Linked DNA regions of Arabidopsis thaliana. The protein of the gene in region 2 purifies or fractionates together with the protein of the main gene of each other region. This does not show direct contact. Each region holds a gene or a part of one and is shown on either strand. Other genes may lie near its edges. The genes, in order: AT1G47380 and CLC2.

Region 1 (16,808 bases), on a different chromosome or scaffold from region 2:
CCGCATATGTTTCATTTGTCCCTTGAGGGTTAGTTAAAACAATTGTATCTATTTTGAGGCCCTTATTACAGTCCAAAGGAGATATATATTTGCGTAAAACAATTATACTGACACCATATAAATTTTCTCCGAGAATATGCTAGCTTGATAAATAAATATTTGCGCAGTCATCCAAAACACCAAAATATTTATCTACATGTCTTGATTTTGTGGAGTAACAGTGTCGAGGTGTTTCTTATGGTATTTATCTACATGTATACAAACACCTAATTATTACAAACTAGTTTGGGTCTGCCGCTCTGGATGGATAAATAGATACGATGAGCTAATAACGATTAATGTACAAATTCATTAACCAAAGAAGATTAAAACAAAAATTAGAGAAATTGATGAACTAATGAAATACATGTATGGCTCCCCTTTGGTATACTTTCAAATTGTAAAATTTTCACATCTTGAATGATGAACCAGTTGGTTCAAACTTTAGATCCGGATTTCTTCGAGTGAAATTTTTAATCTTGGGTGAATGAAGAAAGTGAATACTAACCACTTAAAAATTAGTAAAAGTGAATGTTACACTGATAACTTTCAAAATTAAGAGACAAAAAAAAGTGATTGTGGTTAAGGACTAAGACACTAGGAAACCATGTTTGCTCATTGACAAGAAAACTCGAGACACAATCTAGTACATAAATGGTCTAACTAATATCTAAATTATCTTATCATCTCTCTCTCTCTCTTTTTTTCTTCTAAATTACATTATACTAATAGGAGACAATCACGCAGCAGGAGCATAATCATAGCCACTGTCATCGTCATCACCACCATTCTCAACACATGTCGCTCGAGAGCTATCCACCACATCTTCAACATACACCACGGAAGCACGGTCAAAACTCTTGATGACCAAGTTAGCAACGTAAGACATCATTTTTTTTTTCTGTTATGAAGAGGCCTGAAGAAAGATTCACCGAGTGAAGAAGTGTGATGAGGTTTTAGTGTTGATATGAGTTTGGTGAATATAATAAGAGAGACTGATGAGGCTTTTATAGGTGGAAGTTAAAGGTAAAGCAAGTGTTGAACGCACTCTGTGGTCAGGGATGCCTCTATGGAGTTTGCGAATTGCTCATGTTGATGTGTGTTTGGCACAATAGATATTACATTTTTTCTCACACGTAGGATTTGGTAATGACACATCAGACGTTAAGTTAACTCATCGGTCCATTTATATTCCTTTTTAGTAACACATGTAAAGCATTTTCCTTTCTCACTTATATTCTTCCCCGAGCAAAACAAAGAAAATGAAAAAGAAAGTTTTTGAGCTTTAATATAAGATTCTAGTGGCAACATTGGTCACTTCTAATTAAAAATTGCGGAATGACTTCAAACTTTAATCTCAAAAACATCTTCCCTATATCTAAATAGCTTTTAGGTTGCCCATCAATCACTTTTTGTACCAAACCTTCCCATCTTTCTCTCTTGTGTTGATTGGGAAGATGCGTGGTGTTGATAGCCTTTGTTCTCATAGTTGTTGTTGAATTGCTTCAGTTGGAATTATCTACACTATCGCTGCTATAGAAGAGGATGTTGTTTCTATAGAAGAGTATTATTTTTCGTTGAAAATCAACATAACAGTCTTTTTAGTACTAAATGTATATATTGTCTGTATGTGGGTTGGATTTTTGGCTTCCTAATCCGAGATTTGGGGTTAAGCTAGCCAAGTCAACAATGTAGAAACCAAACGACAGCGCTTCGTTTGCCCTTTTTTTTAACAAAATAATGTCCGGCTCAAAGTCAAGATGAAGAACGAGATAGTGGATCAAGTTTGCTATAAATTAGGAAATTGTAAAAAGAAAAGAAAAAACGCAAAAAAAATGAGCAACAACTTGCACCATCAGGTCTTACAACGTTAATTTAGGCTGTGAACGGTAACCAAAACCGCACTCAAAACTACATCGCAACAATGCTGTAACAGTATCAAAATCTCTACATATACATATGTATCTATGTATTTTCGTTACTATTTGAACCATACCGCAAAACGCAGTCACCATTCGGAGCTTTAGGGTCCGAATGGTAACCGCGGTTTTTGTTGTGCGGAAAAAGCGTTATTATAGTGCGGTACGGTTCAACTGCGGTATGTGCGGGAGAAATATATTTGCGGGACAAGTGCGGTTTGTACAAAATAAACGGTACAAAATAATGTTTGATTGGTGAAAAAAACTACTTGCGGTGCGGATTATAGATTATATATATATATATTAATATATATTAATAATTATAAATCCGAATATATTAGATTTTTTTAGTAATTCATATACATTTAAATATATTTGAGATAAAAGTAACCAATGTTATAGTTTTCTTTTTAGGTAAATTTAGTATTTTGGTTATTGGTATATATGAGTAAAAAATCTGAACCGACCCAAACCCGAAAATATTTTGAGTATTTTTGGTTACTTTTGCATTTATACTAAAATAACCGAACCGATCCGAACTCGAATCGAAACCGAACCAAATTTTTAGAATACCCGAATGGTTCTTAACATCATACCTGAATAGAGCCGATACCCAAAAGAAAAAAAAAAACTAAATGGGTACAGATACCCGAATGTCCACGCCTTAAAAATATGATATAAAAAAGATAAAAAATATGTATTTAGATACAAAAATTATACATATACATATATTTTTAATAGCTAAAGAAAAAGAAATGAATATCATTCATCGCGTATTTTACTTGTACCACATGGTAATAAGATGTTTCAGTTATAAAAGGGGGTCCATGTACTTTTACGCTGTATATGAAAAACGCAGTATACATTTTAAGAAAAATATAAAAAACGCAAATTTGTAATGATAAATGATGATTGGTGTTCTAAGTGCGGTTCTCAAAATTCTTTCGTGAATTCCGCAAATTATATGTTACCATTCACACCCTTAGTGTTTTGTTCCCTATTTATAGATGAGATACTGGGGAACAACTTTTCACCTGATTGTAAGTTAATATATAGCATGTTTCTTCAATATGAATTATAATAATTCATGTTGAACCCATACATTTTCTCAAATTAATTGGCAAACATATAATAACATGTAGAACAGAACATATAAGAACAGAACAAAAAAAACATGTAGAACAAGAAAACGCTTTTATTGCTATATCGCAGTAGCTAACAAATGCTTCCAAAGAAAATAATTTGGGATAGAACTCAGCATCGTTAGATGTAAACTGAGTCCGTAAACATTCAATCTAGTTTGCTATAAAAGTTCGAAAATAAATTATTATGCCAAGAAAAAAAAAAGGAAAACAAAAAGGAAAACTAGAAAACAGAATATAGTTGTAAATAAATAACATACCAAAACCACAAAAGAAGCCAGACTAATGAAATCAAACTTGTAATGCTGCTTTTTTAGTTTGACTTCGAGGTATTGAGACCAAACTGGGGAAAAAGCTACAATGCAAAGGCCAGGGACCAACCACAGAATCTATTTGAATTTTACTGATCAACTTATTGTCCCCCACAACATAGATCCAAGCTTGGCCAGTTTGGTCGCAAGAACACACAACGAGCTTTTTATCGTCGATGAAGTAACTTGGGTGTACTAAAACCGGCAAGTTAAGAGTTGACACTTCCATGAAATTCATCCATTCCGCTGAATCCACATCTCCACTAGAGCAGTTTCTAATCTTGTTCTTGGTCACCCAAATCTCAATCTTCTTTGTTAGATGGCATTGCTTTAACAACGAAAGCCGATCTTCCCTAAAAATCCTAAGAACAAGAACATCGTGATGATGGTTCTCCCCACATGGTAGATCAGAAAACTTGTAGACCTTTTCATTGGAAAAATTGTAGTAAACCAGGACGAACAAGGAATTATTCTTTAGATGAGAGGCAACCCAATACAAAATTCCATTCAGTGATACACTTGCACCGAATAAAGTAACACCACTACTACAACTCATGACCAAATTTGTATATTTCCATGAATTGGAGGCAAAGTCATGGATTTTCCAAACTGATCTAGTAGGGTCTAATTCATTAGGATAAGACACAAGGGTCTTGTAACCACTACTCTCAAGTTTCATGTTATCATACTCATAACCTATGCCATTGAAACACAAACTAGGTTGGTTTACCTTTGGCTTTATCCATTTAGCCTGTCTTAACCACGGGTTCCAAACCACGATGCCTTCTTTTTCCATGCCACATAGCAAGAACCCATTGCAATCAATCAAAATTTTAGGTTTAAGTTCTAAACCGGGAATATCCAAACTTAACTCACGCACTTCTATCTTTGGAGTCATGCTTACCGAGTAGAACTTAGATTCGGTTGCTAAGATGAATCGAAATGTCATCTTGTGGTTGTTAATGAACATCTTATCGTCGAAGAGGGCGTTCCATTTCTTAGAAACGGTTCTGAAGCGAACAAGAGATTCAGGAGGGACACGAGAGAGTATCTCTTCAATCAGTTCACACGGAAGCTTCTCCTCAGGAGCCATTATCTCTTCTTTTTTTTTTTTTTTCCGACTCTTTTTATATATATACAAAAGTTTTCGTAATTAGGGTTTCAACTGAATGTTAGTAAAATATATCTCCCAAAGATTTGAGATCTTTCGAAACGGAATTTTTTTGGATTCACTTTTTTTTTTTTCCTTCTAAAAACTTTTATTAGACAATTAGTATTACAATAGCAAGTACAAAGCCAATACAAAACTTCAGAAACCAACTTATTACAAAAGCAAAATTATGTGCCAGAAGATGACGAAACTGAAAAAGTGAATTTAACGATGCTTCCTTTCGATAAGTCTTACTCGATAACATGTTGTTAAACATGTTATGTTCCTCTTTCATTAGCCATCTTACTCGAATGTGATATGTATGCCATATTGGCATTCTTTGTTTGAAACTCCACATCACATACACAAAGCTCGTTGCTCCTGGAGAAAGTTTTGAGAAACCGACAACTCGATACCAATTAGTCCGTATCGGTGTCATAGTGCCCATTAGAAAATTTGGCTTGATACCGAAGTAATCCCATCCATTCATACATCTCAAACCAAAGACGTTGTTAGAGATCTTCACGGCAAATGTCTCCGAAGTGATTCCGGGGTTCCACATGCGTCGAAGGGCGCAAATTTGCATTAAAACGATGTTGGCAACTATTGCTGCCAGACTGAGAAGACCGGGCATACCCGGAAAAACACCGTGAATGAACCATATTATCATCACACGGACAATAACGCCTTTGGTAAAAAGAACGAAGACCCTAAGAACGAGAATCGAAATGGCGGCATCGGATATCGATGTGAATCCCCAAACTTGAGACAAATTCAACCATGGATTTGTTAACAAAAACATCATCATATCCAGATCGCTCCCAGACAAAACCATCAACGAAAACCCATATCTTACTTTGCCACACGAAGCTATTTTGACTGCAAGAAGGGCAAGCAATATCAATTGGGAATTTGGTTATAATCACAAAATCAATCGTGTCTTTTGATTGAGATTTTATTTTGAATTTTTTTGGATTCACTTTTATTCACACTTTCTTTTTCTACGCAATCAAAATCTACTACAAATATATATATTTAATTGTAAAATATTTTCTCCCACCAAAACAAAGTTATAATATCCTTGTTAACAGAAAAAACAAAGTAATATATTGGTTTTGGATAATAAGGGAGGGTTAGAGTTTATAACAGAGAGTAAGAGTTTATGTTTTATAATTAAACAAGGTTAAATATTAGTTTAAGTTTATGAACGAGTTTAGATTTTATAATTTAATGAGGTAAAATGTTGGATTCAGTTTATAAAAAACGGTTAGGGGTTTAAATTTAATAATAAAACAAGGTTAAATATCGATTTGGTTTTATAAAAGAGGAATATAGTTTAGATTTTGTAGTTAAACGAGATTATATGTCAGTTTGGAGTCATTAAAAATTGTTTAGGATTGAAATTTTTGACAATTAAATGTGATTAAATTATTGTTTTGTTTGGATAAAAGAATGATTAGAGATTAGAAATTAGATTTACAATTAAATTAGTTTTTCTTATAATTAAATTTAAGTGTTTGATTCTGATGGGTAAGAATAAAAAGGGTGAAGAAAATGTTTAGTATAAATATTTATGTATAGTCCTAATTATGAATTTATGTATTTGGGGAGTAAAAACATAAGTTGTAACCTTTAAAGTGTAACAAATATTATTAAGATATCATTAGAAAATTGTAATAGTGTAACGATAGAAATTCACTAAATAAATACACAGGTCATGGGTCATAATTCAGGTTTATAAAGATCTACAAAGATTACATACAGTAAAACATCTATAAATTAATAGTCGATAAATAAATAACCTCTATAAATTAATAAATTATTCCGATCTCGAGTTGAGACCAGTGTAAAAAGTGATACAAATCGATACATTAATAAGATAATAATTTTCCTGAAAATCCTATGTAAATATATGGTCTCATCAATATCATAAATTAATAATTATATAAATGTATCAACTACATATATATATATATATATATATATATATATATATAAGAAATTTCTTTGAAATTATATTTCTAATATTTGTTTGCTTAAATTTGTATTTGTTCTTATTTGAATTTAGTTCTAATATTTTACAGTATCAAAAAATTTTGGTGTTGTTTTCTAAACAGAATAATTATTTTTTACTCTAAGCTACCTAAAGTATTTATAATAAGTAGGGTCTATACAGTGTATAATATTTGAAATGTATAAGAATAAAATTATATATAGTATGGGTACTATTTCAAAATCAAAGTATTAAATTGACCTAAATTATGTGTATTTTAAATAAAAGTATCATTAACAAAAACAACAAAATGATGTTTAAATTCATGAGACGGATATATAGGGTGGGACAGGTTTTGATCTATATTTATTCTTCTTCACTAAACAAAACAAACAACAAATACTTCTAGATTAAAAATTTGAAATTTAATCAAATTATATATAATTTAAATAAATATATTAGTTGAAAGAAAGAAAAAAATGATGTTTAGTTATGACGAGACGAGTTTATATGGCGGGACGAGTTTGGATAAGACGGATTTATATTGCAAGATGAGTTTGGATGGAACATGTTTGGATGAATATTAATATGAGACAATATACTACAAGTGGAATCCTATAATTAACAATCAAATTACAACTATACAATCTTAAACACTATTTTTTGTAATCTTTTAAAAATCAACATTATATCAAAATAAGTGTTAATCTTCTTTGACACATCTAAATGTGTAATTGTAATACAAACTTACTAAATTACAATAATTCTACAAGTTAAATCTATAAACACTGAAAGTTTTAGTTATATATTTTTGATACAAAAATGTGAATATAACATAACAGATTAATATTATTTTGTCTTTTAAGATTTGACCCGTGATACACCAAAAGATAAACTTATTAATATTGTAAACTTATTTCTCACTAAAAATAATAAACAAAATTATCGAGAATCATTAATCAACACAAATAACAACAAACATTATACATAAAAATTCATTTTATAAAAATCAAACATAAATAAAATATTTGACCACGATATATTGCGGATCCTATCCTAATCTCTCTCTATAAACTCCTAATTCTTGTGAGAATTCACAACCCAAATGTGAAATCAATTTATTGTAAAACCATAACATAAAAATAGAATACATTTCAAGATCCAAGTATAAATAGTCTTTTTTTTTTTTGTCGTACTACTACGTATGGGGTGTGTTGAATTTTTGGTGTTGATAATCCGAGATTTGGGGGATGTTAAAAGCCAGGTCGACCACGTGAGAACTGAATACGACAGCGTTTCAATCAGCGCCGAATAAAAACACACATAACGGTGCTTATTGCTGCGAGAACGGCGGAACATTTTTTTTTATATTTTTATTTTTATTACTTAATAAACAAACAATAAAAAAAAACAAATTAAAAAGAGACAGAGAGAAGAAAGAGAACCTCCTCACCTTCCTCCTCTCTTTGCGCGTTTTCTCTCTTCTCTCTCTCCTACGGCTGTTGAAACCAATGGCATTTCTCCACTTCGCCGGAATTTCGATCGGAAGATGAATCGTCTCCTTCGTCTCTCTTCGCTTAATCGTCGATCTTCTTCTGTCGCCGTCTAATTGCAAATCCAAATCGTAAACGCTTCTTCTCTTATTCTTCCTTCCCCCATTGTTATCGTTTCTTCGCTCGATGTGATCATATTCGATTCTTAGAGTTTTATCGCTTCTTTCGATGAGATAATCTGCGTTTCACATTTCCAGATCATTTGATTGCGTTTGTTTTTTGTGTTCATTCCCGATTTTGAACTTTTTATATGTTTTCACTGGATTTATCCGCGAGCGACGGAGAATTCTCGAGGACGCATTCTGATTTTGAATTTGTGTTGCTCAAAGAATTTGAAGATCTAATTCATGTTTTCTTCGACGAGATCGTTTTTTTTTCAGAGTTTTTTTAGTTTGATTCTGCAATGTAGATCGGAATGTTATTGTAATTTCACGAGTATAGATTGGATTTATACATTGAATTTGACTAACTTGGATTTCAAGTTTCAGATTGTTCAAATTTAGAGGTTCTGATTCTTGAATGTTTTTTTTTCTTTTAATTGTGTATCAGGTTTTTTGTATGGTATAGAGATTTGGTGAAGAACTAGACGCAGCTTAGAGGAAGCTTTTATATTTATTGAAGCTTAGGGGGAAACAATGTCAACAAAGGGAGAACATCATACAGTTCCACTTTCTGTGTTGCTTAAACGTGAATCAGCTAATGAAAAGATAGACAATCCTGAACTTATACACGGCCAGCACAACCAAAGCAAGAAAGGAGAGGATTTTACTCTTGTTAAAACAGAGTGTCAACGTGTTATGGGCGATGGTGTTACCACCTTCTCCGTTTTTGGGGTAATTATTTGCCTTCTTTCTCTATTGATTGTGGTCCTATCGATTTTTGTAGTTAAAACATTGAAATGTGTATTGCAGCTTTTTGATGGACACAATGGTTCTGCAGCAGCTATCTACACTAAAGAGAACCTTTTGAATAATGTATTAGCTGCAATACCTTCTGATCTTAACAGAGATGAGTGGGTTGCTGCACTTCCTAGGGCTTTGGTTGCAGGATTTGTGAAAACTGATAAAGATTTCCAGGAAAGAGGTATGAACTTATCAATGAAAAACCTTGTGATGTGATTCAAGTCCCAAGAGGGTGAACTCGTCTGTGTCTTTATATTCTTATATCATTCTGGTGAAGGCTATGTTTGAGGTTTTATTGTTTTCTTGCATTTCAGCAAGGACGTCTGGAACGACTGTAACTTTTGTCATAGTAGAAGGATGGGTGGTGAGTGTTGCATCTGTAGGTGACTCTCGTTGCATACTTGAGCCTGCTGAGGGCGGTGTCTATTATTTGTCTGCTGATCATCGGCTTGAAATAAACGAAGAAGAGTAAGTCAGATTTTTTCCTGCTATTCACCCAACTGATGATAATCTTGATTGTATACAATGGCATCTCAATATTTTGGCTTTCTTTTCAGGCGAGATCGAGTCACTGCAAGTGGTGGTGAAGTTGGTCGGTTAAATACTGGTGGCGGTACTGAGGTACTTCTTTAGATAATTCTTGAAAGTTTCTTCTGTATGCATTAAGTCTCACGTTATCATGCGCTCTTGATACTAGCAATATATAACTAAAAGGTAACTGAGTGCAAACTTCTAGGATGATGTTCCAGAATTGGATGTTTTTGCGAGACTGTATTATACTTAGCTGATGAACTGTCATATTGTGGTAGCTTTGTAGAATGTAACACATAGGGAAATATCTTTGTGCCGTCAAATTGAAGAGTTTTGATAACTAAATCTTATTTTTTTAGATTGGTCCTCTGAGATGTTGGCCTGGTGGTCTGTGTCTCTCAAGATCCATTGGAGATCTGGATGTTGGCGAATACATTGTTCCAGTTCCTTATGTAAAGCAAGTCAAGGTTCAAAACTCATAACTAAATCTAATCTAAATTGATCTTTATGCGCTTATAGCACAAGCTGACATTCTAATTATTGAGTTTTATACTGAAAACTGTATCTATTTATTTTGGTTATGTAGTTGTCTTCAGCTGGTGGTCGACTGATCATCTCAAGTGATGGTGTGTGGGATGCAATATCTGCAGAAGAGGCTCTTGATTGTTGCCGGGGGTTGCCACCTGAATCTTCTGCGGAGCATATCGTTAAAGTATAGTATCTGAATTACTTTATTTTAGATATATTCTCTACATATTCTTTCTTGCCTTTATAGTACCTTGATATTTTATTACTCCATACAGGAAGCTGTGGGTAAAAAAGGTATTCGTGATGATACAACCTGTATTGTTGTTGATATATTGCCACTAGAAAAACCGGCTGCTTCCGTGCCGCCTCCAAAAAAGCAAGGAAAAGGAATGTTAAAGTCCATGTTCAAAAGGAAAACATCTGACTCCTCTTCTAATATCGAGAAAGAGTACGCAGAACCTGATGTAGTTGAAGAACTCTTTGAAGAGGGCTCTGCTATGCTATCAGAGAGGTGTGATTCTCTGAATATATGTGCTTAAGCATATACCATTTTTCATACTTGATAGCTTCATTTCGATCTACTAATCTTAACCAAGTTTTCTTTCGTTTTTTTCTTCTGTTTATTGCAGATTAGACACAAAGTACCCGCTTTGCAATATGTTTAAGTTGTTCATGTGTGCTGTGTGTCAAGTAGAAGTGAAACCTGGAGAAGGTGTCTCGATCCATGCCGGGTCGGATAATTGCCGTAAGCTTCGTCCCTGGGATGGTCCATTCCTTTGTGCAAGTTGCCAAGATAAGAAAGACGCAATGGAAGGGAAAAGATCATCGGGAGGTACACACTATACTTATATATCCTTCTTTATTACCTCCCGTTATTTTGCAAATCGACTAAGAATCTGTCTATAGATTTCTTATGAAAGCTAATTGTAATATATTTTTGGAATGTTCAGATAGACATAGTAGTGAAAGCGACTAGCCAGCAATCTGCAAATTATTGGCAAAGCAACTAACAAAACAGTATTGTGAGTAAATTGGAGCAGTTCAAGGATCTTCGGGTTGTAATTTTTCACCCATAGAGAGATATGAAGTTCCTTGATAAACCACCAACATTCTTACCATTCTCCAGCAGACTCCAAGGAAGTTTATTTATTTTTCTCCCACTTCACGACGTCTTACATCAAACTTGTTTCAAAGTAGAGGTAATTCATAAGTTCTTTTCATTTTTCCTTTTCATTTTTTTTTGTCCATTTGTGATCACTCTGTGCTTTGGTATTTCAAAAATGAGTAGAACTAACTACCAGAGACAGTAGCTTTATTACGTCTGTTGAAATGTTGAGTCGTTTAGGAAGAGAGGGTAAGGAAGATATGCAAGTATGTGTGCAATTATTTCAATGTATAAACCGAAGACAAATTCTTGATAGAAATCAAATCATTTTTCATGTAACTTTAATTATATCTCGTCTTCTACGCTCATAAATTTTATGTGCCTCTCTCTCTTCCAGAGTTATGTCTTCAAAGATAAGAGGACTTATATTGTTTAAGGAACCCTCAGAATTTACATCTCAAAATGTAAGATGGAGATTGTAGTAACGTAGATAAGAAAAGTAAACCTGTCTAGATTTGTTCTTACAATCTAGAAACATGTCGAAAACTGCAAATGTATTGTGTAAGGTTATCCTCAAACGAATGAGATATTGGAAAACAAATGGCATATTCCCCCACAAATTTTATTGTTTTGGAGTATTTATACACATAATTTTTTGGCGTGTGCTTACAACTACATAAACTCACAATAAATTTTAATTTCGTACAAGAATTAAACAATTCCGGCCGAAACCATCAAATCACCAAAGGTTGTTATTGTTCCGCTAATGACTAGGATACCACGTAATGCAGTTTGCGTTTTTAACCATAAATGGCAGTCGTTTTATTACAACAAAATCTTAAAACAACATAAAACTAAAACACAAGATCATACCAAAAGAAATGGATCTGAAACAAAACATCAAACTTGAACAACATACAATAACATTAAAATAATATGATAATTGATCCAAAAATACATCATAATCCGAGTATACAAGCTACATAATCAGATATCACATATAGAAAATTAGAGATGAATAGTTTGCATCTCGTTCATGATCTCATGTAAAGTGGATGCAAAATTTTCTTATTTTTCTCTTCTTTAGTCATCTCATAAAGATTGAAAAATATGAATAATAAGTTTTACACTTTCAACCCAAATGGTAAAATTTGAGATGAATCTATATTTCATTCAATTCTTTTCTACTGAAAATGCAATCATTTTTCCACGTACTTTTCTCTTATCAGACTTGTGCCTATGTGTGTAACACATTGCATCTTGTTGTCCTTAAGAAAGTAAAACCTGGAATAGTTGGTAAAGAAATTTGAATATAGATGAATTGAATGAAAGAGTACTATAGGAAATTTAATCAATATTAATTGCTACTTAACACTCTCTACTTGATGCAAGAAAGTAAATACTTTATAAAAATTGGAAACTTATGCAATTAGTTTTTCCTTCTCTAGATCAACACCTCTATTCCGATTGCTTTGATCCAGAAAGTAAAAAAAAAAATACGGTAGCCATTAAGCATATATTATATAGTTTTAGTTCAAATCAAGAGCATACATAAGCAATTTCCAAACCTTCAGACCTCAAATCAAATCTCACCAAGACTGGTTCCTAACTCATTGCCTATAGCTGGTTCTCGGATAGTGAGGAGTGCTGCATTGTGAGGAAGTAATGTTCATAAAACCGTCTAACATGGGTCAAGCAAAATCCTTTATATAGATCATCTATTGGATTTTTTCCTATAAAACTTCTGACGATCATTACACTGGTTTTGACAGTTGGTAAGGTTATAGACGTACTCTCATCAACCCATGGACATAGCTAGAGTTTTGGTAGCAGATCAGTTTCTTCAAGTGACATACCGTATATATATACTTGATGTAAATTCAGGTGGTTCATCCACAACTAGAGCTTTATGTTTAGGTTCATCTACTACTAGTGCCGGCTTAAGTACAGGGACGGGTAGTGCGACCGTCCTACATCCGAACAATTTTTCTTCTTTTGTATATTTAAAAGGGGTACAACTTTTTTGTATATATAAAAGGGATACAAAAAATATTATATATGCAAAAGGAGTATAAAATATATATTTTAAAAAAATTTGCCCTAAAACACATAATATGTATGAGCCGGCACTGTCTACTACACAAGCTTTCGCGGGACTAGTTATGGCTGAAGGAAAAACATTTTCAGCTTCTTTGGTAAAAAAAATTCACCCGTTCTTTTACGTACAAAGTAATTATTATTAACCACTAAGAAGTAGGAAGTCTTATAATCTGAAACATAGAAATTAGGACTTTAATTTCTCGGTTTGGACTTAGGTTAGCACCGCCCTATTTTAATTTTATTTTTACCACGGCTTTCGTCTCTTTGGTGAGTTTTAATTTTTAAATAGTCTTAAAAACTCTGTCTTTTTATTTGGTGAAGAAAACAAAAAAAATTTCATATTTTGATTCCTTTTATTTTCAGTTAGGGTCTCTTTATTTTCATGGTAGCTAGGTTTGTCTAGTTCTTAATATCTCTGTCTTTGTGTTCGACCAGCAAATAAAACGATCATGATTTCAGATTCCATCCCTAATGAACTCATCCTCGAGATATTGTTGAGAATACAAAGTCAATTGCTAGGTGCGATCGATATATATATTACAAAAAAAACAGTGTTGTTGCAACGATATTTTTGCAATGATTATATTCGTTAAAAATTTGTAACAAATTTTGCTATACTTTTGCAATGATGAGTGAACGTTACAAACTTACAATCGTATTACAAGTCTATTGCAAAATAATGACAAAACAATATTGCAACACGAAATATTTAAACAAATAACATTATTCATTTTCTACGTAAATTAATGTTGGTTTTGTGTAGTTATGTAAATGGTTTAGATAAATATGATAAAATGATAAAAAAAAAAATTATAATGGGAAACAGTGGTGGAATAAGACACATATTAGGTTAATAATAGATAGCTACTTAAAAAATTTATTTTATTTTGAAAGTAAGTGATGGAGTTGTAGATAGTAATAGATAGATAGATAAATTTGGGAAATGAAAAATAAAGATTTAAAATATTTAGACATGTAGTCCCTGTTCATTTGCCTGTCGCTGGCGACTGAAACCAGCGACAGCGACCAAAAGTTGTTCGTTTGCCTGTCGCTGGTTCAACGACCAAAAGTAGCGACCAGCGACCGCAATTTTTGATCGCTGAAATTTTTAGCGATCAGTCGCTGGTTTCAGCGATTAGTCGCTGCTTTTGGTCGCTGAATCCAGCGACATGCAAACGAACAACTTAGCGATCAAAATAAATAAATTAAAGAATAATTAAAAATAATTAAATTAAACAGGATTAAATTAAATTAAACTTAAATAAATGTTTTTTGCACTCTGAACAGTTGTGTCTTTTAATCGCAACTTTCCGTAAAAAATATTGACGGTTGTTTTTTCTCGCTTGTATCTTTTATTGCAATTTGCCTATATTGTAATTTTCTGTCAAAATATAAACAAATTTATAATATTTTCTTTGCAATATCACGAGGGATTTGAGTTCTAGTTTAATTAAAATAATTCTTATTAAATTTGATAAAACTAAAATAAATAAATATATTAATTTATTTTTTCTCATGGTGTATGATATATGATTTACATTTTGATTTTAAAATATAAATTAGCACAAAAAATAATTATTTTTTTTTAAAAATATAGCAACTGTTTATAACGACAGTCAAACGAACAACACTTTGACAGTTATTAGCGATTGTCGCTGTAATTGGTCGCTGAATCCAACGACAAACAAACGAACAATATATGTTGTCGCTGGTTGCTGTCGCTGATCGCTGGTCGCTGTCGCTGAATCCAGCGACAGAGAAACGAACAAGGCTGTATATGATTTTTTTGGCTACGGTACCTTCTTGTATTTATCCACGAGTTATGATATCCATTTTTGAAGCGTTTTTTGTGGACTTTCAAAGCTCTCTAATGAACGTACTTTGACTATTTATAGATTTAATAGCCAATTTATAAAGTCGTCATGTGTTTGTGACGACTTTGTACTTTAGTGATTCTCTTTTTTTATAAATAAGCCAAAGTACGTTCTACTTTTTATCCACAATTCATTAGCCTCTCTACTCTCTTAATCAAGAATCACTAAAGTACAAAGTCGTCCTCAATCTCTTATATATGACGAGCGTGTCTCCTCGGTACAGAAATGTTCCTGTCCCTAAAGTGTTCCTTAGTTTCCGAGGAGAAGAGATTCGTCATGGGTTTATCAGCCACCTCGCTGATGCTTTAGAGAGATATGGGATCATGTTCATCATAGATAAAGACGAGCAACGTGGAAATGACTTGACAAGTCTCCTTTTAAGGATCAAAGAGTCAAAAGTTGCCCTGGTCATCTTCTCTAGCAGGTATAATTATGAGGAACCTATCAATCTCTGATTCCTTCACTTAATTAAAACCGGAAGTAGTTCATAGATGCATCTTTTTCTTGGTTGCTTAATGTTTCAACATTAGCTAGGGTTTAGAGTTATCACAAAATTTTAAAAATGGTTATTGACTTATTGTCCTAGTCATCAATATCTAATAGTATTTGTATGGACTATGTGGCAATTAATCCTTTAGGTTTGCGGAGTCGAGGTTTTGTATGGATGAGATTGTCAAGATGAAGGAATGCGTAGATGAAAGAAAGCTTCTAGTCATTCCTATCTTCTATAAGGTTAGGGCAAGAGATGTGAGCGGCCGCACAGGTGACTTTGGTAAAAAGTTTTGGGCGCTTGCTCAAAAGTCTCGAGGATGTCAAATCAAGGAGTGGATGGAAGCCCTAGAGTGTATTTCTAATAAGATGGGTTTGTCCCTGGGAGACGGAAGGTATTTTCTAATGCTTCTTTTGTTTTCCTATAATTTGTTTTTCAAAAACATGTAATATCTTATATATTTAATTAGTGTATAGAAATAACCCAGTTTCCAATATGCGATATTCTAACATTTTAATAGGTTTCATTGAGATGTGAATGAGAAACGATCCAACATAAACAGTCCAAACTCATTAAAAACCTCCCGATTTCTTTTTAACTAAGGTTTAACAACAATAATATAATAATTAATTCCCACAGAGACGGCCAGATATAATTACTAAGGTAATTTTAGTTAAATTTGTTTAGTTAATTGATTTTTATCGTTTAATTTGGGCTGCTTGTTCTGAAAGCTAGAAAGATTATAGTAGTTTAAAACTTTAGGTTAAATCGTTTTGAAAATTTGTTTTCGATGGAATTTGTATTTTGAAAGCTTGCATGAGTAGACGAATACCCATTATTTTTTGGTAAATAAGAATGCATGGAGTCATATTTTGGTTCCCGAAGGCTTAAAAGAATAATAATAGGTGAATTTCCAATAGGTTTTATCTCATCTATCTCTTCCATAAGTTTGTCACATTATTTTTGTCGACTTGTGGATCACATTTTAATACTACTATTATATATATATATTTTTAAAAATCGAAATAATGTTTGGGAGAAAAGTATGCCAATGGATTTGAGTCTCTAGATCTGATTTGTGTTTGTGTGACAAACAAAGATAATGTAAAAGATGTGTGGAGCTTAGGGAATTATAGAAAAAACATTTTCTGTAGTTTTATGTTTAGGATCG
Region 2 (16,808 bases):
ACGTGGACATCAAGGTCTGTTTGAAGCTGGAGAACCTGTTGGAGTATTGGCAGCTACTGCCATGTCAAATCCTGCATATAAGGCAGTGCTTGATTCCTCTCCAAATAGTAATTCATCATGGGAGCTAATGAAGGTATAGCAATATCAAATCTGCCTTCTGAATACAGCTTTGTTCATCTGTATTGTTGTGTAATTGTTTTCTGTATTTGTTCTTTTCCCAGGAAGTTCTGCTCTGCAAAGTCAATTTCCAAAACACTACTAATGATCGGCGCGTAATCCTTTATTTAAACGAATGCCATTGTGGAAAAAGGTTTTGCCAGGAAAATGCTGCTTGCACAGTCAGGAACAAGCTGAATAAAGTTAGTCTTAAAGATACTGCAGTGGAATTCCTAGTCGAGTAAGAATTGGGTTTTAGTAACTTCAGTCGCTCTTTTTAGTGTTTGTGTTATTTTTTTTTTATGGTTTTACTAAACCTCTTTGCAATCTGCTTTCTCTTTACTTGCATGAAGATATAGAAAGCAACCAACTATATCAGAAATTTTTGGAATTGATTCATGCCTACATGGCCATATTCATCTTAATAAGGTTTGAATCTGGTTCCTTTACTGTTGAATCTTTCTGGAAGCCTCTACCTGTCATAGAAACACTTTCCTATTATCCTTTTCTTGCTGTGTAATTGGTGTTTTTGGTTTACTAGACATTGCTGCAAGATTGGAACATCAGTATGCAGGATATACATCAAAAGTGTGAGGATGTAATTAACTCACTAGGACAAAAGAAAAAGAAGAAAGCTACTGATGATTTCAAGAGAACAAGTTTGTCTGTCAGGTTTGTACAATGATTTGCTTTTCCTCTGGATGTCGTCTCTGGTTGAATGTTATGCATAATTTGTCCAGAAAGCAAGTCTGATGTTGATTTCTAGTTTTCCAGTTATCTTCTTTCCATCATTTTTGTTCTTCATAGCATAATGTCTAGCTTTGGTTTCTACCTGATTATGATTGATTTATTCTCCAATGAACAGTGAGTGCTGCTCTTTCCGAGATCCTTGTGGGAGCAAAGGTTCGGATATGCCTTGTTTGACGTTCTCCTACAATGCCACCGATCCCGATCTAGAACGAACTCTTGATGTTCTTTGCAATACAGTTTACCCAGTTCTGCTGGAAATAGTGATCAAAGGTATTTGAATAAAACTTTTCATTTTTGTATATTTCGCTTGTTTCCCTACACTTCGATTTCTTCTTTGATGGGGGAGCAGTGTATCTGATAGAGTCTTCCTTTCAAAATTTTGTAGTTACATGGCTTACGAAATTTTGTTTTTTGCCAGAAGTTTAATGAACCAAAATATTTTCTCAACTAGTCTGATTGAATTTTCCTCCAAGTTGTGATCGATATTCTGTGCTACTATAAAAGAAAGCCTATGTTTTAGTAAGATTTCTAGATACATGTTTTTGATGATACTCCTGTATCTAAACTGAGCAGGTGATTCACGGATTTGCTCAGCAAATATAATCTGGAATAGTTCAGACATGACAACGTGGATCCGGAATCGTCATGCATCCCGCCGAGGGGAATGGGTTTTGGATGTCACTGTTGAAAAATCTGCTGTCAAGCAAAGTGGTGATGCATGGAGGGTTGTGATAGACTCATGTCTTTCAGTGCTTCATCTAATAGACACAAAACGGTCAATCCCTTATTCTGTAAAACAAGTGCAAGAATTGCTTGGGTTATCCTGTGCTTTTGAGCAAGCAGTACAGGTACTTACTAACTTAAAACGTGATCCGTTCCTGGATCTTACACTTAAGTCATGATACTTCTTACATATTTCATGTTTGGTATCACATTTGCTCATTGTTTGTGTAAGGATTTTAAACGTAAGATGTTGATTTGATTTGCAGCGTCTATCAGCTTCAGTGAGAATGGTCTCCAAGGGAGTTTTGAAAGAACACATCATTCTCCTAGCAAACAACATGACTTGTTCAGGGACTATGTTGGGTTTCAATTCTGGAGGTTACAAAGCTTTGACCCGATCCTTAAACATCAAGGCTCCATTCACAGAAGCAACTCTGATTGTTAGTAGTTCAATCCTTTAGTCTAATACAAATTATTTTCTTAGACTATATACTGGCCGTCATGTTAACAGGAATTACTTTTTGTGCCTTTAGGCACCAAGAAAATGTTTTGAGAAAGCGGCTGAGAAATGTCATACAGATTCACTATCAACAGTCGTTGGGTCTTGTTCTTGGGGAAAACGCGTGGATGTTGGTACAGGCTCACAGTTTGAGCTCCTATGGAACCAAAAAGAGGTAGACATTCTCACTGGAAATCATACCAATTGACTGAGGTTTTCTCATATAAGTTTGTTATGTAATTTTATGTCATTTGTTGTCAACCTATTTGCAGACTGGTCTAGATGATAAAGAAGAAACAGATGTGTACAGCTTCCTTCAAATGGTCATATCCACGACAAACGCAGATGCATTTGTTTCTTCCCCTGGTTTTGATGTTACAGAGGAAGAAATGGCTGAATGGGCTGAATCGCCCGAGCGAGACTCTGCTCTTGGAGAGCCCAAGTTTGAGGACAGTGCCGACTTCCAAAATTTACATGACGAAGGCAAGCCATCAGGAGCCAACTGGGAGAAAAGCTCTTCGTGGGACAATGGTTGCAGTGGTGGTTCAGAGTGGGGAGTCTCAAAAAGTACAGGTGGTGAGGCAAACCCGGAGTCTAATTGGGAAAAGACTACAAATGTTGAGAAGGAAGATGCTTGGTCTAGTTGGAACACTAGAAAAGATGCTCAAGAATCTTCCAAGTCAGATTCAGGGGGTGCTTGGGGTATAAAGACAAAGGATGCTGATGCAGATACAACACCAAACTGGGAAACAAGTCCAGCTCCGAAGGATTCCATTGTCCCAGAAAATAATGAGCCGACTTCTGACGTTTGGGGACACAAATCTGTTTCAGACAAATCGTGGGACAAAAAGAACTGGGGAACTGAATCAGCTCCTGCTGCATGGGGTTCTACAGATGCTGCTGTTTGGGGTTCTAGTGATAAAAAGAACTCGGAAACAGAATCAGATGCTGCTGCTTGGGGTTCCAGGGACAAAAATAATTCTGACGTTGGGTCAGGTGCTGGTGTTTTAGGTCCCTGGAACAAGAAGAGCTCGGAAACTGAGTCAAATGGTGCTACTTGGGGTTCTAGTGACAAAACCAAATCAGGTGCTGCTGCATGGAATTCTTGGGACAAAAAGAACATAGAAACTGACTCAGAACCTGCTGCTTGGGGTTCTCAGGGAAAAAAGAATTCTGAAACTGAGTCAGGTCCTGCTGCTTGGGGTGCTTGGGACAAAAAGAAATCGGAAACTGAACCAGGTCCTGCTGGTTGGGGTATGGGGGACAAAAAGAATTCTGAAACTGAATTAGGCCCTGCTGCTATGGGTAATTGGGACAAAAAGAAATCGGATACGAAATCAGGTCCAGCTGCTTGGGGATCTACAGATGCTGCTGCTTGGGGTTCTAGTGACAAAAACAACTCGGAAACTGAATCAGATGCTGCTGCTTGGGGTTCTAGGAACAAAAAGACTTCTGAAATTGAATCAGGTGCTGGCGCTTGGGGTTCGTGGGGACAGCCAAGTCCCACTGCAGAAGACAAGGATACCAATGAGGATGATAGAAATCCGTGGGTTTCCTTGAAGGAGACCAAAAGTAGAGAGAAGGATGATAAAGAGAGAAGCCAGTGGGGAAATCCAGCCAAGAAATTTCCATCTAGTGGTGGCTGGTCCAATGGTGGTGGTGCAGACTGGAAAGGAAATAGGAACCATACTCCTAGGCCACCTAGATCTGAGGATAATTTGGCTCCCATGTTTACAGCAACGAGACAGCGCTTGGACTCATTCACCTCTGAGGAGCAAGAGCTGCTCTCAGATGTTGAGCCAGTCATGAGGACTCTCAGGAAAATTATGCATCCGTCTGCGTATGCCTTTCTAGTTCTTACGCTCTGTTTATACAATTTCCAGTTCTATGTATAATTAATTATGCTGTTTCACATGCCATATACTTGTTATGCTTCATCTATCTAAAACTATCTTCTTTCGATGAAGGTACCCTGATGGAGACCCAATTTCTGATGATGACAAGACGTTTGTCCTGGAGAAGATTTTGAACTTCCATCCCCAAAAAGAGACAAAGCTTGGTTCTGGCGTTGACTTCATCACGGTAAACAACATTTCTCCTTAACAAACTTAGCTTCTCTTCTAAAGCTTACTTAGCCTTATGCCTGATGTGAAATTCTTGGTTGAACAACGATGTAGGTTGATAAGCACACCATCTTCTCAGACAGCAGGTGCTTCTTTGTTGTCTCAACTGATGGGGCCAAACAGGACTTTTCATACCGAAAATCCCTCAACAACTATTTGATGAAGAAATACCCTGACCGTGCTGAAGAATTCATTGACAAGTACTTTACGAAACCTCGGCCTAGCGGAAACAGAGACAGGAACAACCAAGATGCCACACCACCTGGGGAAGAACAGTCTCAGCCTCCGAATCAGTCTATAGGTAATGGAGGTGACGACTTTCAGACACAGACTCAGTCTCAGTCTCCATCTCAGACTCGGGCTCAGTCTCCATCTCAGGCTCAGGCTCAGTCTCCATCTCAGACGCAGTCTCAGTCTCAGTCTCAGTCTCAGTCTCAGTCTCAGTCTCAGTCTCAGTCTCAGTCTCAGTCTCAGTCTCAGTCTCAGTCTCAGTCTCAGTCTCAGTCTCCATCCCAGACTCAGACTCAGTCTCCGTCTCAGACTCAGGCTCAGGCTCAGTCTCCATCATCTCAGTCTCCGTCCCAGACGCAGACATAAACTCTTGAGAACCAAAGAAGATTTGGTTCGTTTAGGTAAACCATTCAGTCTCCACTGTTTTGTTTTGATGTACATAAAGAGTGGAGAGAATGGCGGTTTTTATCATTAAAAGACTCTGATGTGAAGTGCAAAACAATGTGTAAATGCAGTTCTCTAGTTTCAGATCGTTTGTCCTAAAATCAGGTTTAGGGTTTCAGTGACCGGTTTAGTTATAAAGTCTAGCGGCATTGTAGTGATGTTTTGACATTGACTATTTATCGAGCAATGCATTTGCCATCTCATTTGCTTCTTGTTTGAAACCTTCGAGAGACGAAAATGATTGCCTTTCTAATCGCATAAGCACATGGTTAGAAATTATATCTTGTGTTGACCGATGCAGCTCCTCCGGCAGAAAATCATCTAATTCAAAGAGCTCTTGTGTAATTGCACGAATTGAGAAATCAGTTTAGTTTTATGAAATTGAAATCAATAATAGAGAAATTACATTTTATTCAGATGCATGGATACATTGTTTAAATACATTCATATGAACATTCAACACGGTAGCCTACATCATATATTTTCCCTATACAACGGTTCTTGCAAGAACCACATAATGGTCGAGAAATATTACATTTGGGAAGAACTTGAACCCTGCATACCCATTTATTGAAATATTGACCGGGCTTGATATATGGGTCTCCACCAATTAAGCATTCAATATGAAAAGTGGTGCAACACTCGTTGCACCAGTAGAATACTTTTGTGCATGTATCCTTTAAACTACGTTCACATATTTCACACCATTCTTGCTCACGTACTTCTTCACCAAATGAAATTGTGAGGAAGTGTGTGTCATGCTTATATTTTATTTTGTATGGTAAGGTAACACACTTAAAACATACAATGAAATTGCATTTGATGCAATTTAATTGTTTTAAACATTCTGTTTTGCATATATGACATATGGGTTTTATTTCTGGGTTTAAAGCTAGGAACAAGGGATCTTCATGACCTTTGTAATCAAACGGCTCAGAAATTAAAGCGCACCTTACATCAAGCTTGAAAAAGTTGCATACCTCCATCCTACAGTGATAGGCAAAGCCAATAGAACCACGATCACAAGCGTTGCAACGGAAGGTATTGTAAGTAAAGCTATTGATAACCTCCAATACAAGTGGGTGAGGATGTAAGGCATGTTGGATTCTACGGGGAGCCTTAGCACATGTTTCATGGAGGATGAAATCACACTCCATACAAACATATAAGTTACCTTCATAGATAGGAATGGCACACGCTTGACAAAGCATGTTTTCATCATAAACGTTGCTGACCTCGAGTCGGAGATGATGATTATGATGAAAATAAAGTATCACTCCTTCAGATATCACCTCGAACGGTCCATCATTTTCTGTTATATCGATTATCTCTGGTATACCTTCGAGTTCTTTTCCATCCCACACATCTTTCCCAAGAGCGCATATTGAATGAACAACATAATCGCTACACGTGTCACAAGTATATGCACCATAATCAACGTTAATACTTAAACGGCAAACTCCACAAAACCATTCTCTAGATGTAAGAGAAAAAGTGAACGAGATACGATGACGGTGACGTGATATCTTGATGATGTGTGGGGAATTCATACAGTCATTATGAGTTACAAAGTTACATCTGAAACAAACGTAGGTGGGATAAATTTTTCTCAACAAACCACAAACATTACAAGTCAAGGAAGTTTGTCTGGGGAAAAAAGTGAGAGGATGGATATGCTTTTTTGGTGGGTCTATAAGAAAAGGTATTGGCTTCATCGCACATATGGGATGCATAAAAGCCTGGCATGTGGTGCAATGATAAATCAACCAATGTGCTTTTCTTCCACAACATAAACACTCAATCTTACGAAAGTTATCATCATGAAAGAAAAGTTGGAGATAGTGCTCAGGGTGGTAAGGATGTTTGATTATAAGTGGAGATTGAATGCATTCTTTGTGTAATTTTATGCTACAATAGTTGCAGAAATAATAGTCGGTGCCGGAATTTGAGCCTTCGCATATGTAGCATCCACCATCAGCATCAAATTCTTTATTGTTGCACCAAAACAAAGGGAGTACATGATGATCATGAGAGGTCGTCGTTGTAGAAAGGACGTACTCGGGGGAAGAATTAAGCGGATAAGTGTCTGAATACGACTTGATTTTTCGACGTCGTGATCGAGGGCATAAGAAAAGAGGTTGAAGGTCACTGGAGGAGGTTACGGTCTGTGTTTGGGGTATGGGGCAATATTTCGGATGATGGTATACCAAAACAAGGTTACCATCCTTTTCCACCTCATAAAATCCTCCGACGCTAGAATCCATGAATGTGTTAAGTCTTTGTTTATTTTTGTTTTAGGCTTTTATAAAAAAATATTTGTCATACAAGATATCAAGTTGTTAACATTTTTCCTCTATAAATACGAAAATTTGATTCCAAAAGTTTTCTTCTACTCTTGATTATTAATATACTTAAACGTGAAAACATATGGTTGATTTTGTTCCTTTTCTCAGTAGTTGTGATGATAATGTTCTTCTTTACATGCAAATAAAGAATCAACTTTTCTTTGCACATAGTTTTGTTCATTTCTGATGTTCCATGACTTCAAGACTCTATATTAATCGTGCTCAATGATTGTGCCAATTCATTAGTAGTGTATAATTTGAGACTTTGTGAACTCAATCACGAAACACACAAAAAGAAAATGAAGGTTTATTCAAAAAAAAAAAAAAAATGAAGGTTTGAAATGGAAAATGAAACAATCGTACCAAAACCAAATTGCAAAACGTTTTAAACAAGAAAAGAAGAACACGTAGTTTCAATGATCCGGTTGAATTAGAAAGTAGAACAACCGAACCCACACTAAATTGCAAAACGTTTTGATTAAGATAAGAAGAACACGTATGGAACATTAATTGTAATCTAATGGATCGGTTGGAACCTAAACCATAACTAAACCGGAATACTCATGATGAATTGGAAGTATTTGGGCTCGAAAAAAGCCCATTAAGAAAAATGGAAATAAAAATAGTCACAAATCTCCGTTATTAATTTTTGCCATAAGCTTGAGAACACTTGAAAAGACAAGATTCGCGAGTTCTTCGTTCTGCCTTTTTTTTTTTTTTTGTGTGTTCGAGAGATGTCTGCCTTTGAAGACGATTCCTTCGTCATACTCAACGATGATGCGTCTGAGTCTGTTCCAGTCTCAGGCTCTTTTGACGCCACTGATTCTTTCTCAGCTTTCGACGGCTCACTCCAAGTCGAGGACTCCGTCGACGATGTTTTTGCAGCGCCGTCTTCTGACTACGGTGCTTACTCCAACGGTGACGGCATCTTCGGATCCAACGGGGATCACGACGGTCCTATCTTGCCACCACCGTCGGAGATGGAATCAGATGAGGGATTTGCTCTTAGAGAATGGAGAAGGTTAGATCTACTCAAAGTTTTGATCTTTGTTGCTTTTTGTTTACTTCTTCCTGAAGAAAATCGATAAAGTGGATAAATTTAGTTGAGAATCTCTTTGATAATCTGAGAATTTCAATTTTGAATTTTGATTCACAATTTTTGTGAATTGAAGTTATCTGCTAGTTAGTGTCCATTGTTCTCAGAAGTAATCAGTTTATTAGATTGGATCTGTTACTTTTGCTTAGAGTTTATTGCTCAAATCGTGTGTTCTAGAATAACATCTTGATCCGTAAGCTTGTAATGCTTGTTGAGTTGATTAAGATGTATAGATCTGATTTCGTGCTATGGCTTTATTATGTTTATGTGTAGACAAAATGCAATTCAACTTGAGGAGAAGGAGAAGAGAGAAAAGGAATTGTTGAAGCAAATTATTGAGGAAGCTGATCAATACAAAGAAGAGTTTCATAAGAAGATTGAAGTAACTTGTGAAAACAACAAAGCAGCTAACAGAGAGAAGGAAAAGGTTTGTTCTTTTGCTAAAAGATTTGAATTTTTTATCATCTTTTCTCAATCTGTGTTGTTGTCATGTGGTTTGTGGAGAATTGTCAATGCAAGTCAATGGCTTGTTGATATTAAAATTTTCAAACTTTGACCATCTTAGTCTTAAGTCAACTGTGATTGATTATCTTAATGCATTGTCAGTTTTGAGATTATCTTAATACATTGATTATCTTCATTACGTGTGTGATCTTTGATACCTTTTTATCTGCATATTGCATTGTTACAGTGTTGATTAAACTTTCACTTATGTGTTTATTTGTCTTTGAACACTTAAGCTGTATCTGGAGAACCAAGAGAAGTTCTACGCGGAATCCAGCAAGAATTACTGGAAGGCAATAGCAGAGCTAGTTCCTAAAGAAGTTCCAACAATAGAGAAAAGGAGAGGAAAAAAAGAGCAACAAGATCCTAAGAAGCCAACAGTCTCTGTGATTCAAGGTCCAAAGCCCGGTAAGCCAACCGATCTAACAAGAATGAGACAAATATTGGTGAAGCTCAAACACAACCCACCTTCTCACCTGAAACTCACTTCTCAACCTCCATCGGAGGAGGCGGCTGCTCCTCCAAAGAATGTTCCCGAAACCAAGCCCACTGAGGCAGTTACTGCTGCTTAAAAACCTCCTTTGTTTTCTTATTCGTTGCTTACATCTGTGTGAATTCAGTCTTTGCATTTCATTATGTGTTATAAACAGCTGAGAGATTTTATGGTTCATGTGTGTTATTAACATAATTATGTCATATTGGAATGATAACTTTTTATGTTTTAGTCAGTTACCATTGAATAGTGGTTAATATCTCAAATCAATCGGTTAAAGGATCCATCCATTTTAGGGTTAAAGTAGAGACGAGAGTGGAGAGGTTTACATAAAACATCAAAACGCTACTTCACATATCATCATTATCAAACTCGTGTGATAATTAAAACTCACAAACAATAAAAGAGAATCTCAAATGTGAACGTTTTACAAAAGGCTTTTCTTCTTTCTTCCTTCATCTCCCTTGTAAGCTTGCAGGGGACCTGCAACCTCTCTCGCTGCCTGCGTCGTCTTCCTTTTCACTTGCCTCTAAGCAAATGCCATTGTTGTTGCAGACACTGATCTCTGAGCTTGCGTTGCTGCTTGTTGCTAGTGGAGAAGAGTCTGAAACATTCATCGGTCTACCACGTGTATGTCCAGACCTCACACTGTACATTGATGATGCTGGAATATTCGTCATTAGTGGTCTCAGGTTCCCTGGAATAGTTCTACGTATATCCTGTTTTCATCAAAACGTTTGATCATCAGTTAAACGCAATTGCCACCACTTGAGGAAGAGAGAAGAGAGAGATACATACCATATGCCTTATTGCCATATCAAGGGACTTCTTGGAGAGCGTTCTTCCAAATCCTGCACTGTCGGGTGATGAAGACTTTGCAGACAAGTTACCATGAGGAGAACCCTTGTCATCTGATCTGGGTGGAGCAAGTTTCCGCATGTTTATTACTCTCTCCACCATTTTTGTTCCCATCATCACCGGACTAACATTGTCACTGGCTTTGGAATATCCACGATTAACCGCAGGAACAGAGCTACCACTAGAGTACATTGGTGCTCTTCCTCTTGATGGTGAACATGATTGCCTTCTTGGTCTTCCTCCTGGAGGGCCCCCTGGCTCAACTGAACCAGAACGAGAGCTTGGAGCTCCAGGTCTGCCTCTTGTCGCTGAAAGTGGCCTTTCGGGTAATGTTGTCCTTAGATTTGGAGGAGTTTCTAATGAGAAACCAGGCATGTCTGACGGCTTCCATGGTCTTGACCTCACTGTAGGAGATGCTGCACGAGATAAAGCAGGGTTCTTAGATGGTGTTGGCATAGGCTTTGCTGGCGCTGGAGAAGAAGGCTTGATTTGGGATATTGTGGGATTTGCTGTAGTAGTTGCAGCACTTGCAGAAGCAATTGGACGGCGAGTTGGTGTAGATGACCTTGATATGGTTTTAGATGGAGGAAGTGTGGGTCTTGAAGTTGGTGTTGAAGATCTGGCAGTAGATCTTGACAGAGGTGTGGTGGACCTTGAAGGACCTGCAGATTTTGTGGTGGTGCTAGGGGTAGATCTAGTTACTGAACCAGCAGATCTAGCAGTTGAGGTAGTCGGCTTAGATGCAGTAGGTGTGAGCCTAGATGATGATAAACTTGTTGACCTACTCATAGGCGTGGGCTTAGTCGTTGCAGATACTGTGGACCTCGAGTTAGTCAAAGAAGGTCGAGTAGCTGAGGAGACAGTGGCTCGCGAAGTGGGTGTTGAAGGCCTTGAGGATTTTGAATTTGCCGTCAGTGTTGATGATCTTCCAGTGGGTGTGGCAGGTCTTGATCCAGGTCCTCCAGATGATGAAGGTCTTCGACTTGCTCCACTGGAAGAGCTCAATCCAGGAGAAGAAGTTTGTTGTCTAGATGTTAGATGGTTCCTTGCAGCAGACTCTGTTGAGGAATTTGCCAGCTACGACAGATAATTCATAGGTTACCATAACGAAGTAGTGAAAATGTGCTACTCTAAAAAAAATCCAGAGCAACATCCCACATAGCAATAACGATAAATGCGATTTACTAGTGTAAATCATGAAACTTGAAATGTAAACGTCACAGACTGATGCGGCAGGTTAAACTAGTAGTGGCGATTCAAAACATATAAACAATAACAGCAGAGCTTTATTTTAATACTGGTTGCACTACATTAGGTTGTTTATCTAGTATCCATTCCAGGAGTTGATAAAAGAGGTCAGAACACTAAGCAATAACATTCTTACTCTGGAAGTCAATGTAGCCGGGCGACTCTTTGAATCACCAGTCTGACTCATCATAGTCCTATGTGATTCCATCTCCAGCGATGGAAATAGAGGCGTACCTGGAGGGGTCAGAAGCCTTCGAAAGACAAGAAGAAGTTAGGGTGGAAATGATAAACAGATAAATGATATATTGTTCAAGAAAGTATATGAATGTCTAAGAAGAGGTAAACAGAGATGCTGGAATGATGAACACCTTATGCAGCAAAATTCTAAACTTGATAAGAATTCAGTGCAAGACTCGCACACCTCACAAACAAAGGGTTCCAAATTGTGACACCAAATTCGAGTCTATTAGATTAAACACATGCCTTATACAGAATGATGTAATGTGAAGAAACAACACAATTTCAAGGAAACAAAACTACCACACATATATTACTTCAGAACCTCATGGTTAAGATACAGCAAATCAGTAACTATACTATCACAAAGAATACTTAAACCGCCTGCACTTAAGGTGGCTAAGAAAATTCAAACCATCACCGGTGAATATGTTACTGAAGTAATGAACCATAGCGTCGCAACATGAAAGTTTGTGATCAAAAAGTTACCATTCATAGTCATTTTTATCGCCTTCAGAATTGAGAAAATCATCAGGAGCAGCCTTCCGAGATGGTGGAGCACCACTTGAGATGTTAAACACCGGCGAAGTTCCATGCTTTGAACCTAAATAGACCAAACCCCATCAATAACTAATCAACCTCCAAGCTCAAATCAGAAACCTGATTCCACAAAATTAGAAAGAAAGAAAACATATTACATACCTAATGGAGTTTCAAACTCATCAGGGTTATTGTTAAGAAGAAGATTATCCTGCTCTTTCTCACGGCGTCTCATCTCAAGAAACAAAGAAAGCTCTTCATCTTTCTCAGCCATCATAGAAGCCCTAAGCTGTTGCCTTTGTCTCTCTGCTGAATCCAGCAATAGAGACTCTTTTGCCCTAAAACTTCGATTCATTGCTCACCAAACTTTACAACAGATCAAAGAGATACACTAACTTAGCTTCCAATTTACTCCCAACGGATAATAATTATCCTATAATCTTTAAAAAGTTAAATAATTGTCCTAAAATTTAAGAACCCCAAAACGAAAAATCGAAACTTTCACAAGCTTAACTTGCAACACATTTTTCAGAAATTTCCCATTTTGAAAGTTAGTATAAAAAAGGGGAAAGTTAGCTTTTTTAATAGAAGGAAGACACGAGCTTTCTTCTCAAAGAAACCGCCATTATCGAGGAACGGAGCTCAAGACCCTAGCCCAACTACAGTTAACGGAGAAAAAAACCCAGAAGCAGAAGAAATAAAAAAAAACTAACAGAGAAAGAGAGAGATTTTGGGAGATCGAGGGAGAGAGATTGAGGAATTGGGAGAGAGAAAAGAGAAAGTGTGAAGACGAGTGGCATTGAGTGTAAATACTGAGCTTTGTGATCGGTTAAATTGGAAACTTTTTCATAAGTTCAAAAGAAAAAAAGTTTATTTTTTGGGTTTGATGAGAAGAAAAATTCAGTGACGGGACATGACATCTGGACTGGTACCTAATGTGTTATCAATTGTTTCTATCGCTTGAAGCCTAAGGATTCTCAATGATTATTCCGATGTTTTTTTGTTTGTATTTTAAGATTATATTGTCAGAGTTTTATATTCTTCAACCATTGAAACACGACTTACTCGAAATTGATCAATGATTCTTGAGTTTATTGTATTGTAATCACGTTTGTTGAACCATATAAAGAAATATTGTTCGGAGTGGTAAGACCTTTGTTTGAATCCTAATTATTAAAGTTGAACACTATATAGACCTAACTAATAAATTTATTTCAATTGGAAATTAGTTTTTTCATACATTATTAGGTCTTAATCTGTCATTAAGTACCTACTGATTAGGTAACATACTAAAATTTCTAGTTTTGGCAATGATTTTAAGCTTAAATATTCTAAGAAAAATATAAATTTTTAAGCTCATTATTGGCAATTGTGTTTTGGGAGGGGTTGACATTTTGAAAAGTTGGTGGATCGGATTGTTGTTGTTCAGTTGGTTAGTAACTCACTTAAAACACTATTGAGTTATGAAGTCTAATGTTTGATCCGAAGATCGGGCCGGGCATTAATCGATATAAGCTAAAAGAAAGGGTGATATATTGTCATAGTTCGAGTGTCTTTTGGTTAAAATTCCGGTTTAGAATGCTCAAACGAAGTACTAACTATTTTGGTATCACTTTGTTAGACAAGTTTGGAGGAAGGAGTGATAGTGCGTGATGTTTGTTGTCACTATATTGCAACATTTCTCAACATTTTTGTTGTAATATACGATAAACTGTGTGGTTGTGTGAAACATCATTTGGATTTCTTGACTAAGGATCGGATTTGCCGTCGTAGATGGAGAGCTAAGTTTGATTAATAGTTTAAAACTTAATATTCCACTAGATTTATATGATTGTGATTAGTGTCGTACACACTGGTCGAGACTTGTAGGGCAAAATCCTAAATTTTAGATGTTGCTAATTTGGAATACACTGCACCTTCATTTGTCTTCCCTAGGCTCAAGCCTACAAGTCAAGAGATTAGCCTCTGTACCTCTATCTCTAGTATGTATACCCGTGTAATCTTCTTCTTGAGGAAAAAAGAAAAAGCTCATATAAGAACTTCTATGAAGAAAAAAGGTTTACATAACTTAATCTGATGAAAGAGACAAAAAAATTCAATGGTCCAGTAAGACAAGATAATATAAAAGGACAGATATTTCTCCTACGATTTATATGGTCAAGGGCATGTACAATGTCATTGTCACCACCATCACATAACTGATGAACACCATCATGTTGAAAACAAAGTGTTTGGAGAAGACAAAGCCAGTAGTTGTCAAAATGGTACAGAGAATTTTGTCATAAATGAAGTATTATGACACGAAAACGTTGAAGATAGATTTGATCATGTGGTGTATTTCCTAAAAAAAGGAATATAAGTTACTTCAAAATCCTTACAATCACACAATCTTTAATATGTCAATTACATCTAATGATATGAAAATGTATCCTCTTCTATATAAAGATTAAAGAGTAAACAATATAAATGAAAATGTATCCTCATGAGTCATGATTCAAGAATAACATCAACCATATCAGTGTTGTAATGTTTCTAATCTAACACATCTTATGTCCACCACAGTCCAAATTAAGCCAAGTGCAAACTGCTTAATGACATCAACTCCAACAAGCAGTCGATTCTTGCGAGCCCGACAAACCCCATCAGGCCCAAGTAGTTGTTTTCTTTCAATTGTTTAGTTTGATATTAATGTGACCTCTGTTTTTTTATCCTTTTCGACCATCAATTATTTTTCCTGCTTAGACAAAGTAAGTTTGTAATGGTTTTGAATCGTTTTTGTATGAAATATTTTTTCTCACGAAGAACAAAATTCTTAATGCTCAACAGAAAAATCAAATTCAAATGTTACAAAGTATCGTACATAATTTCCTTATATATACCATATTACACACACAAAGAGAGCAAGAATTTGCTATTTTATGATGACTGAGAATATAAGGTACAAGAAGTTTACAAGAAAAAGTAGTGAAATCATAAATTTACTCAGTCACAGCAGAGCTAATCACTTTAAACCTCTTCATATGCCATTTTAATCCCAAAAAAAACTTATAGGTTTGATAGTTCATGTTTTGATATGAAATTGGCCATTTGTCCCCTTTCAAATAACTATGCTTCTTTTTAGTCCTTTTTGTGCAAAAGCTCTTTCGTCTTCTTAAGATCTTTGCTTTCTAGTGGTATATGAATGCCGAAATAGTTTGCCTGGGTTTTAGATCATGATCTCATGTATCAACATTTATTTTACTGCAGTTTCTGTTTGCTTTTTGATGGAAATGAATATTGTCACAACGTAGAAATTTTCTATGCTAGAGTTCTCTAATACACAGCCTAGTGAAAAGTCACTAGAAAACAACTGTATTTAACATGTCATACCAAATTGCATCACTATGTGACGAAATTACTTACTCCAAGTTGCAACAATCTAACCACAAGCCTTCATTTATTATCAAGGTCACATGAGAAAAGTCTCTAAATAGAATCAAACCAGAAGTAATCTAATACTGTATCAATTATTATTATAATCATTAGAGAGATTGCAGTAGAGACACATTGAAAAAGACTCAAAACCATAACTAAAATAACCCCAATAGAGATGGGTTTGCTCCCACGGATTATTCTAACGACAATCATCATTGCAATACAAAAACTAAACATTTACTTTATATCATAGCTTGAACCGGACAGATTCAAAATTCTCAAACCGGCCGGTCCAACTAAGAAGAAACAATTTGATTCCGGTTCATTAAGCTCTAGTTCCGGCAGCACCACCACCATCGTGACCGTTCTTCCCACCGTGAAAGCCCGACGAGAAACTAGTATTGAGATCAGAATACATGTTAACAACCTTGGAAATGTTTCCGTTGAGTTCTTGAATCAAAGCAACGTTCTTCGACATGTTATCAGCCATTCTCGATTGGTGATTGTCGTTGACTTGTTGAATCAGTGATCTGTTTCTGTCTAAAACTGATTGCACTTGTCTGAAATTCCGGTCAAGATTCTCCCACATCGCCGGATCCTCTCCCTGCTCTGCCTCCTCCGCCACGTTCCTCCGCCGTTTCGTCTCGCCGTTCCTCTTCATAATAATTTTTAATTGTGTTTTTCTCTCTTTTTGATTTTCGTCAAAGTCGAGAGAAATCAGATATTTATAGTAAATATCTTCTGAGTAGAATCGGACACCGAGGCGAGTAAGTTCTGTTTCATCACCACTTGATTAACAAGAGCGTGTATCTCACGTAGACGTATCTATCTGATATCAAAGAACACGCGCGTGAGTGAAGCTGTGAAGTGATTGGGTAGAGGAATAAAAAGTACATATCTTTTTATGCACTTTTCTTGGATTTATTTTTAATTAAACCATGGAGAGAGATAAGGATCTTATTGTAGAAATATCTAAAGATATTTATTGTAAAGTGAATATAAAGTAAAATATGAATAAAATAGGGAAAAAGGTATATGGTGTACGACTTGCCACGGTGCAGCAGGAACCAAATTCCTATACGCATGATCTCATGTTTAATGAATTGTAGTGTTTCACATCTAATTAGTTCCAAGTTTAGATAAACAT

Evidence for each region.
Region 1: the proteins of CLC2 (region 2) and AT1G47380 purify together in Arabidopsis thaliana (affinity purification with western blotting, with the first as the bait; one study listed by BioGRID). This does not show direct contact.

What each region holds. Positions count from the first base shown.
Region 1 is NC_003070.9:17,367,240-17,384,047, reverse strand, and holds AT1G47380 (Protein phosphatase 2C family protein), read left to right. Parts: upstream 1-7,956; 5' UTR 7,957-8,178; intron 8,179-8,656; 5' UTR 8,657-8,742; coding exon 8,743-8,940; intron 8,941-9,018; coding exon 9,019-9,190; intron 9,191-9,323; coding exon 9,324-9,477; intron 9,478-9,566; coding exon 9,567-9,630; intron 9,631-9,899; coding exon 9,900-10,007; intron 10,008-10,126; coding exon 10,127-10,252; intron 10,253-10,343; coding exon 10,344-10,579; intron 10,580-10,697; coding exon 10,698-10,900; intron 10,901-11,018; coding exon 11,019-11,044; 3' UTR 11,045-11,677; downstream 11,678-16,808. Other genes in the region: AT1G47395 (uncharacterized protein), read right to left, coding at 779-931; AT1G47390 (F-box and associated interaction domains-containing protein), read right to left, coding at 3,392-4,504; AT1G47389 (uncharacterized protein), read right to left, coding at 4,674-5,396; AT1G47370 (Toll-Interleukin-Resistance (TIR) domain family protein), read left to right, coding at 15,345-15,571, 15,786-16,031.
Region 2 is NC_003071.7:16,718,559-16,735,366, forward strand, and holds CLC2 (Clathrin light chain protein), read left to right. Parts: upstream 1-7,865; 5' UTR 7,866-8,005; coding exon 8,006-8,292; intron 8,293-8,640; coding exon 8,641-8,794; intron 8,795-9,107; coding exon 9,108-9,443; 3' UTR 9,444-9,649; downstream 9,650-16,808. Other genes in the region: NRPD1B (nuclear RNA polymerase D1B), read left to right, coding at 1-133, 222-397, 510-585, 698-828, 1,022-1,176, 1,480-1,754, 1,896-2,069, 2,163-2,303 and 3 more; AT2G40050 (Cysteine/Histidine-rich C1 domain family protein), read right to left, coding at 5,361-7,190; AT2G40070 (flocculation FLO11-like protein), read right to left, coding at 9,820-10,083, 10,163-11,299, 11,607-11,721, 12,197-12,311, 12,410-12,602; ELF4 (EARLY FLOWERING-like protein (DUF1313)), read right to left, coding at 15,987-16,322.